Linked DNA regions of Oryzias latipes. The protein of the gene in region 1 interacts with the protein of each later gene in a biochemical or structural test. Links are inferred from orthologs where the notes say so. Each region holds a gene or a part of one and is shown in the gene's direction. Other genes may lie near its edges. The genes, in order: ksr1 and mark3.

The links.
Region 2: of the proteins of ksr1 (region 1) and mark3, one has a biochemical effect on the other in vitro, tested with the Homo sapiens proteins (2 studies listed by BioGRID). The link is inferred for Oryzias latipes from reciprocal best matches to the Homo sapiens genes KSR1 and MARK3.

The regions. Positions count from the first base shown.
Region 1 is NC_019872.2:17,303,833-17,308,317, reverse strand, and holds the start of ksr1 (kinase suppressor of Ras 1), read left to right. Parts: upstream 1-1,449; 5' UTR 1,450-1,823; coding exon 1,824-2,039; intron 2,040-4,485.
Region 2 is NC_019880.2:21,349,436-21,353,844, reverse strand, and holds the start of mark3 (MAP/microtubule affinity-regulating kinase 3), read left to right. Parts: upstream 1-1,390; 5' UTR 1,391-1,964; coding exon 1,965-2,015; intron 2,016-4,159; exon of another isoform or gene 4,160-4,236; coding exon of another isoform or gene 4,237-4,275; intron 4,276-4,409. Other genes in the region: eif5 (eukaryotic translation initiation factor 5), read left to right, coding at 306-404. UniProt on the Homo sapiens protein: Serine/threonine-protein kinase. Involved in the specific phosphorylation of microtubule-associated proteins for MAP2 and MAP4. Phosphorylates the microtubule-associated protein MAPT/TAU. Phosphorylates CDC25C on 'Ser-216'.

The DNA.
Region 1 (4,485 bases):
TCACTGCAAGCTAAATAAAAACCATATCTATAGAGAAGTGATTCAATGTGGCCGTTTGCTGAAACGGCAATAAAGTTCAAGCTTTTGAGGAACAAATGAGGTCTGGTTACAAATCTAAAGACCAGAAAGACTACACATTCAAGTCATCTGACTACATTTGAAGAAATTATTGATGCAAGCAAATACAAATTTTCGAACATTAATGGAAGAATCCTCCGTGGCAACATTTACTTTGAATCCAAATGACATTTAAATACAAGGATTTGGATATTAGTATTAAACCAAATTCTGTCTTAAAAGGAGTTCTAATGGTGCTTAAAAGGATGGTAGTACACCCGTCGTGTTTTGGTTCTAATTTCTTGGCCAAAAATGTTCTCTTTTTAAATTGTAGGAAAAGACAAAACAGATATGATCTACTTTTGAAGGTTTAAACATCTGCTGGGTAAAACTTTACAACCAACAGGTCACGCGAGACAGACAAAAAAACACACACACAAAAAATACACAGATATTTGCAAAAAAAAAAAAATATTAAAATCTTTTAAGGGAACTGAATCATTTAGCTAGATACAATATATTTTAAATTTGCAATACTTTTTTGTTATTTCTTTTTTAATTTTGTATTTTGGAATATTAAAAAAATCAGAAAACCTTTTTGCAACAGTCTCTATAGTCAGGTAATTTGAAATTACAATTATTTTTTTCAAATGGAGTTGACTATCCAGGGAAAAGCATTTTTTCTGGGCTCTCTGATATTTCCATATTTTTAATATTGTACTTAAGTTTGGAGAAGCACACTTAAATCTACTATCTGTCCTTGGTATACACTACAAAAAAGGGCTATAAGAACAAATCACCAAGCTAATGACTAGTATGAACACACCCATCCTTTATTTGTAAAATCTAACAAAGAGAGGATTTTCAATCTTTAAATTAAGACTCAACAGATAAGAATGGTTATGAGGTCATTGATTGCTTTTGTCTGAGCCCCATGATGATTTTAATGAATGTCTGGTATTTATTTATAATGTGATTGATGGGGAATTATAGATAAGAAATATATATTTTTAAATTTTGTTGTTAAAGTTGAATGGGTCTTAAGGAGTAGGCTTCGCTTCTGCCTATCGTTTTCAAACATGTTATTTTTCTTAAGGTCTGTCAAATGGAGATTGTTGTTTTCCCCTTAATGAAAAGGTTTGAATAAATGATTATTATCACAGAGGGTATTACTTTATGTGTTGCTACTTTTATAATATCTATAAAATAGTATTTTTAAAATGACAAATGTGCCGACAACAAACAAAACACTTGTATTTAAAACAAGTCATGATCATTAAAACTGTATGTCATATTGCTTAAACAACTGAAAGGTTGTTTTTTTCTTCTCTTTTTGAAGTAGAGATGTGGCTCTTTGAACGTTTACATATCGAACTATATTTCCCAGGATGCACCGCGCTCGATGATGTTCCCAACAGCTGACAGACGTTGAAGCCTCCGCCAGAGCCTTCGGTGGAAGCTAGTGTGTATCCTCTCGTCGGAAGCCCACACGGACGGAGAATACAAGCCTTATCGGACCTCGCCGAGTTGCTCGACCCAGTTCACGGTCGAACACGCCGTTTTTTTTTAAATCAAATATTACCTCGACTGTTTTTTTTCTTTCTCCCCACACCGTGACCTGGAGACAGTTGCTGTCAGCTAACTTCCTACGACAGGTCGCTGCGTCGCTGGACCGCTGCATATGTTTCATTTGAGCTTAGCGGTTTGACCCCCCCTCACCCTCCCCCTCACCCCCCAGTCCTTCCATCCGAGCCCAATGCTGAGGAATGGATAGTGTGTCTATCAGAGGTGGGAGGATGGTCGAGAGTGATGAACAGCCGGAAAGGGGCAGCAGCGGCGGCGGCGGCGTGGCGATGGCCGCACTGCATCAGTGCGAACTCATCCAGAACATGATTGATATCTCCATCTCCAGTTTACAGGGGCTACGGACTAAGTGCGCAGCCTCCAACGACCTTACGCAGCAAGAAATACGCACTTTAGAGGTAAGCAGCCTTCCCGATCTGTCATGGCATGCAGCGTCCTGTCTTGAGACACCGTCAAATTGCGGAGTCATGAAGCCTGCGCGCCGCATCCGCTTGAATGTACGAGCTGCAGGCTCAGTGAGCCGAGGGGGACCGAACAAGAGAGCGCGATCGGGTCTAGAACATTCCCAAACGGGGGTGCCTAGGATCTATCTTCCACTGCCTGACCCCTCCATCTCTGTCATTTGTCAGGAGGAGGGGGAGGCTCCTGTGTGTGCCTGGCCTAATGGCACACATTCAATAATAATCGGATGCACGATATATTGGCAACTCGTGATGTGCGATTTTAATGATCATTTCGACGATATGACTGGTGATGCATCAAAAAAGCTAAACAACTAAATACATAATTTCCATTTCAACACTTTTATTAAAATAAAAGGCCACATAAATTAAATTAAACTCCAGATGACCCTAGTCTATATAAGAGGCAAGCATGACGTAATATTTAGACTGATTAAGCCGGGGCTCAATTAAATTTGTTAAATACTTTAAGATGCCATACGATTACTTTAGCATGTGTGCAAAAATTTAAAGTAACCATTTATCTCAACTTTTGCTATACCTGTGTTGCATAGGCGATATTGCAATTACTATCCATTTACGATTTCTGGTTTACGATTAGTTTGCTGCTGCTATTACTGATGTTGCTGTATGTGCAGCTCTGTGACCCTCTGTGCTATGCGACAAACTACAAGGTTGTGTCAGAATTTCTTCACTACACATTACACTTTAGTGCTTTCACCAGTTTAGTAGGTCTGTCTGAATCTACAATTCCAAAATCCAGTGCCCTAGAAATCTCTGAAGTCTCTGTGAAAAACCAGTGTGCATTGGTGCACACTAGATCGCAGTGTGTTGACCACAATGCGTTTAGACAATTTTTGTGGGAAAAATGTATGTTTTTTTTTAATAAGCCATCAACGTTTTCATCATCAGAACACAGTGGATTCATAAATAGCTGTCATAAAATGTTCTTGCTGATTATGTTTTCACTTTGTGAAATCAGTGACGTCATAATTGCCGTTTAAAAAAAAAAAAGTGAGCAACGTGTCTGAATTGCTTTCAGGGCACTAAAATAGTCCCACACTAGATAGTTTTTTAGTTAGAGAGAGGGAATTCAGACATAGCCCAAAACAAACCCAAGACTTTGAAATGCATTTTTCAATTTATTGCCAACTAGAAGTCCTCCTGATCCAGATTTCTTCCCATCTTCGGATGTCTTGACATGGCTTGGTGAAAGAGTCTTCAGCACCAGGAAGTATCTTGGAAATGTCCAAGCAAAGAAATTGCTCCATATGTATTTTGCAGTTGAAGTAAACAAACTCATTTTCCACATGGCGTAAAATTTTGCGTACCAATATTACCTAATAATAAGCAGGCTCAATGCTTTACACCTCTGTGGTGCAGAAGTAGAGCGGTTGACCTATGATCGGAAGATCGCAGGTTCGCAGGTACCTTATCCGCCTGTGTCAAAGTGTCACTGAACCCCACATTGCTCCTGGTGGTTATAGGTTGTCAAATTATCCCTGAACCCCACATTGCTCCTGGTGGTTATAGGTTGTCAAATTGTCCCTGAACCCCACATTGCTCCTGGTGGTTATAGGTTGTCAAATTGTCCCTGAACCCCACATTGCTCCTGGTGGTTATAGGTTGTCAAATTGTCCCTGAACCCCGCATTGGTCCTGGTGGTTATAGGTTGGCGCCAGTGTTCGACAGTAGGGCCACCATTAGTCTGTGCATTGGTTAATAGGACTTTGACTCTACAGTGCCTTGCGGCCTGCTAAGAAGGTAGCAGGGGGTATATAAGTGTATGCAATTTACTATGTATGAAGACAACAGGGGTAAAACCTGAACACATATGAAACAAATTGGAATATTGGAGTTTTCAGCACTCAACAGCCTTATGAATAACAAGTGTGCTTCCTGGTTCATTGTTTATTTAAGCCTTATACCTTGGCTTAAATAAGTATCCCAACTCTGATTGACTAGAGGCTATTAATTATCCATGTCTGTTTTATTTCTGGATAACTCAACACCCCTATTAATAATTATACAGTTGCCCTTAAAAACTAATGTTTCAGAAAGCCCAGGGTTTAGGTTTCATCTATACGGCGACATAATACGATCTCAAATGCGCCTTATTGTTGTTGTTTCTTTAGGTGGGGGGGGGTTGGCAAGTTGTATTTGTTGTCTTGTTGTTGTCAGCTTAGGAGGGCATTATGATCCACGTAGGGGAAAGTGACACCCTCAGAACAACGAGAGGCAATGATGATCTTGTGTCATGCTCCCTGGTCCATCTTTTTTTCTTCCTCCCTTTTTCAAAAAATAATCTTGATCATTCGTGGATGCCTCGCTCATGTGTTATTTGGCAAGTCGCTGCGCGTGAGAGCAGTATTTGAGTTGCTCA
Region 2 (4,409 bases), on another chromosome or scaffold:
ATCGTGAGAAAAAGACTGCATTAAAAACACCCAAATCACTATTTTCATCAGAGAGGGTCTTCAAGATCGGAAATGCAACATCTCTTTAGAGCTCAAGGCTGAACTTAGTGTGATGGCAGTCTGGGGTCTGGGGTCCAGACCGGGGTAACTTCTTGCGATTTAGTTCAGCATTTCGGTCTTGTGAACCTAAAGGTACTTGTTTACCTGTTGGAGGGTTAACACTTGGTCTCCTCAGGTGGAGACGTCGGTGGGCGTCCATCGTAGTAAAGGTGACGTTCCTTAAATCTGCTGTTTTGCGTCTTCAGGTGGTGTATTCGTCCTCCGCTCGTGAGCTGAAGGTGGAGACGGTCAAACCAGAAACACCCGAGAAGGAGGAGGATGACATTGACATCGATGCAATCTAAGACGGATGTGTATGCTGATGCTGTGACTCATAACGCTCTGTATGACGTATGGAATAGTTTGCCTTTTGCTCCTTTACTACATTTCCCAGACTCCCTTCTGCTTTGTGGCATGATTTCTGTAGCGCTTTTCCTGCTGCACAGTAACTGTAATCCTGACATGTACTCAGTTGACTAAATGAAATTGCTCGGGGGTTAATCACAAGTGTTATGGGGATCATTTTGATTTGCATCTTTGTTTTCTCCTTTGTTTTGGGGAAAGGGAGGTGCTTGTTGTATTTTTCCAGTCAATAAAAATGTTTTGCTATCCACCACACTGTTGTCTTTTCTAAAGGATGACTTGATGTAAACGGTGCTGTATGTATTAGTTAATGCAGGGAAAACAGAACATCGGTTCTGAAACGCTCAGTTTTGGATCAACCTAGACTCTGGGTTCGCATAGAGAAACGCCTTGGGATTGTCAGATGCTAGGGACAGGAAGCTGGTGTTTTCACGCGGGCTTTACCTTCGTGTGCGTCATCCACACCCCTTTTGAAGTGAGTCACGAGGCAGTTTCCTCTCGGCCCGCCGAGGTTCTGGTCGGGCTCACCGGTCCAGTGGGACCGAGGTCAGTAAGTTTTCTCTGCCCGCTCAGTAAAACATGGACGTGGTGCCTTCAAGTACCGTCAGGAGCGCAGAGATTGCATTCAAGTTAAAAAACGTTTTCACATTTTTGTAAACCATTTTTCTCATCAAATTAGTTCAACTGCAACGTTTTTCTAATTAAATTAATGATTATTTTGAAGGGCGAAAAAACAAATACACCACTGACAACAGTTAAAATGCATATATTTTACTTTGTGTGCTGATTATATGTATTCCGTATTTTCACAGAAAAATGCCACTTGTAGTGGGAAATCGTGCTGAATTGGTGTTTTTTAACCCTTCGGAGATTCACGGTTTAGTTATGTCTGACGGTGCAATGGGTCCGTGAACGCATCCTAATCCAGCCCAGCCGCTCAGTAGCCATTTTGGTCCCACCTAAAACAGTCCGAACTGCTTCACTTTAGTCCGCAGGAGATGGGAGAAACAGAACAGACTGCGGGTGTTTCAGCCTTCCGGGGATTTACCTTCTCTCTGCCAAACTCCTACCAGTGACCCTATATCGGTTCTGTTTAATCCGAACTCGGTTTGCGGGAAAAGGGAAGGTTCGGCTATTTTTGTACCGACCGACACAGTCACACAGCGCCTTCGCGTTAGTTTAGTTAGCCTCACTGACTCTCATGGACACCGCTTTTCCTGTCGGGATGTGTGGATCGGACCTCACCGGCCTGCAGTGACATGTAACCACTGAAAAGCAGACCGTACCGCTCCGTAGTTTCTTCTTTTTTTTTTTTCTTTGCTCTTCCTGAGAGCTCAGGTGCTCGGCACAAACACGTCCGGTCTGCGAGAGTCGTCACGATCCATGCCGAGACCGTTTTCCGGAGAGAGCTGCAGAGCGAATTAGGGTCTGTTGGTTTTGGGAGGTCGGGCTGGCGTTTGGACATCGGAAAACAAGAGTTTTGAAGGAAGACGGCCGAGAAGATGTCAACCAAAACTCCCTTACCCACGGTCAACGAAAAGGTGACGGAAAGTGTGAGTAGACGGGCTCTTCTGGTCACGTTCAATCGGTCAACTGCCTGAAAAATGGCTGTCAGTCAAAGATACGCGGCAGCCCAATCACTTCATTTCTTTATTTTCTGACCGATGGCTTGTTTTACACCCGATGTACTACTTTGTGTTACATGGTAAACAAGCTGCCTCTCCGTCAAACACGCCCTGCCTTTAATTTATACCGGCGTGTGAGATAAAAATAACACAACACTTGGTTCTTGCATGAACTGTAAAACATCTGCCTTGTTGTGACTTTTTATTTGGTGTTTAAGCAAGCAGCTAAGGCCCAAACACGAGCTGAACTACAGTACTTTGCCTGCTGGACTGGTTCTGGCAGGCAACAGTAGTTTCCGTCCCGGACGCCAGTTGGCCTTTGCAGCTGTCAATCACGACATTTTATCCACTCAGATTTCAAAGCGAACCCTCGTAGCTCCGCCCCCTGTGACAAACAGTGCTCTCCTGCTTGAAAGGAGGTCGTCGAACTGCTGGCAACATGACTCTGTGGGCTTCCGGTTTGTGCTATCAAAATAAAAGAATATTTAATGAAACTAGTTCATAATTTTGTTGTAATTAAAAACGGGTCTTATTATTACAATCAAAGAATTCCCAGAGGATTTGTAATATTGCACATTAATGTTAAAAATTTGCGGTGCACATTTTGTTGACCGTGGCTTCTTGTGGTGTTTGCTCTTTTACAATGTATGATTTTTGTAAGTAGACCTCCTGACGCCTTGAAGAGTTACTTCAACACCTGATTGACTGACGTCTTTAAACACAACACCTCTGTTTAAACAGCCTGAGTAAATAACTGGGAGAGGAGGATTTTAGAGTAGCTAACAGCCAATCTAGTGTTTTAGTGAGAGTCCTATTGAAGCTGATTTAAAATTCAATTTTAGAGACTGCTTAGTTATCTCAGTGTCTGAACACCGCTTCTACTTTACTCAGCTGTTATTCGTTTTCCTTGTTGGATGATTTGTATTGTAGCAGTAATTGCTTTTGTAGGAATTTTGTGAGAGTTTTTTTAAGTCGTGTAAAGTTGTTACTCAGCTTCAGGAAGTCCCTCAGCAGCAGAAAAACCCTTTCCTTACATAGGATCATGTCCAGGGACAGAGGAATGGCCTGTCTGCTAAAGTATTGGACAGGATAATTATCTAACAGTTGATTTTAGTGTTAATTAATAGTGGCTCTTCTGAAAATAAAGATATAGAATCGACATCTGCATATTTCTAAGTGATTGTTTTGAGGGGGAAAGGAGGCATTTTGTGAAGCAGGCAGATTTCGAGTATCATACATCCATACATTCTGTCCTTCCCCGTATCATGTTGTCTAAGCCACTGCAGATGCCTGATGTCTGCATGTGATACGGTCCGTCTCATGACTCGTGTCAGCTGCAGCGTCTGCTGGAGTGGAGCACAAACAGCTCAGAGGGCGATAAGATGAGGTGAAACTATTGATCCTTTGTTGCTCAGTGTTCTAATGTAAAGGATGACTAGTAAAGTCCCCACTCCGATCACCTTTTGATCCGTTCTAAAGCCGATCCCAGTGCTCTCTCAATTAGGATGATCCAGTTTTCTGAAAAATCATAAAACTTGTTTTCTAGGACATCATTTTTTTTCAGAGCAGCAGGAGTTCCTCAGAAATTCACCTCTGATTTGTGGGCGGGACCGTTGGTGCAGAGTCCTGTTTGTTTATGTGCAGATTCCAGCTCAGACCAGAAAAACAAAGACATTCACCGATCTATTTGTCTGACAGTGGATGATCAGAAAGGGGCGGAGCAGGGAGAATTTGGCCCCGCCCACCGTAGTTTGTACGTTAAGACTACAACCTTTTTCAAACAACATTATTTCTTTAATCTAAATTTTCTTAATAAATGTGCTCCATCATTAGAAAAAAGCCACACGAACGTGTTAAAAACTCCATATTCATCGGAGTGGGTCTTTAATCAGGAGTATAAGCAGTTTGAAGAATATCTACAACTTCTGGTAACAGACAGGCGTTTACCTTTTAATGTGTATTTTTTTCTATGAAACGGGGATGTTCAGATCAGAATCCCAGGCTTTATTTTGAAAGGACGGCTGTTCCCTGCTTGCCTGCAGCAGGCTGAGCTTCATCAGTGCTCCTCTTCCTCTCTGTGCTTGTGGGGCTCTGGTCTGTGCGGGGCTGTGGGCATCCTCAGAGGGCAAAGTGCCGTCCTGTGGAAAACATGACGGGCTCTCAGGCCACCCGGAGACATCGCAGCCTTGTGAGTAAAACATAGGAAGGGGTTTCTCTGTGTTTGTAGAGGACGTCTTGCAGGAAGTTGTTGGATGAAACCGTTGGTTGAATGCTTTAGAGTTGGGAATGTTTTCCTCCTTGTTGGTCTGAAGTGCCGAGCGG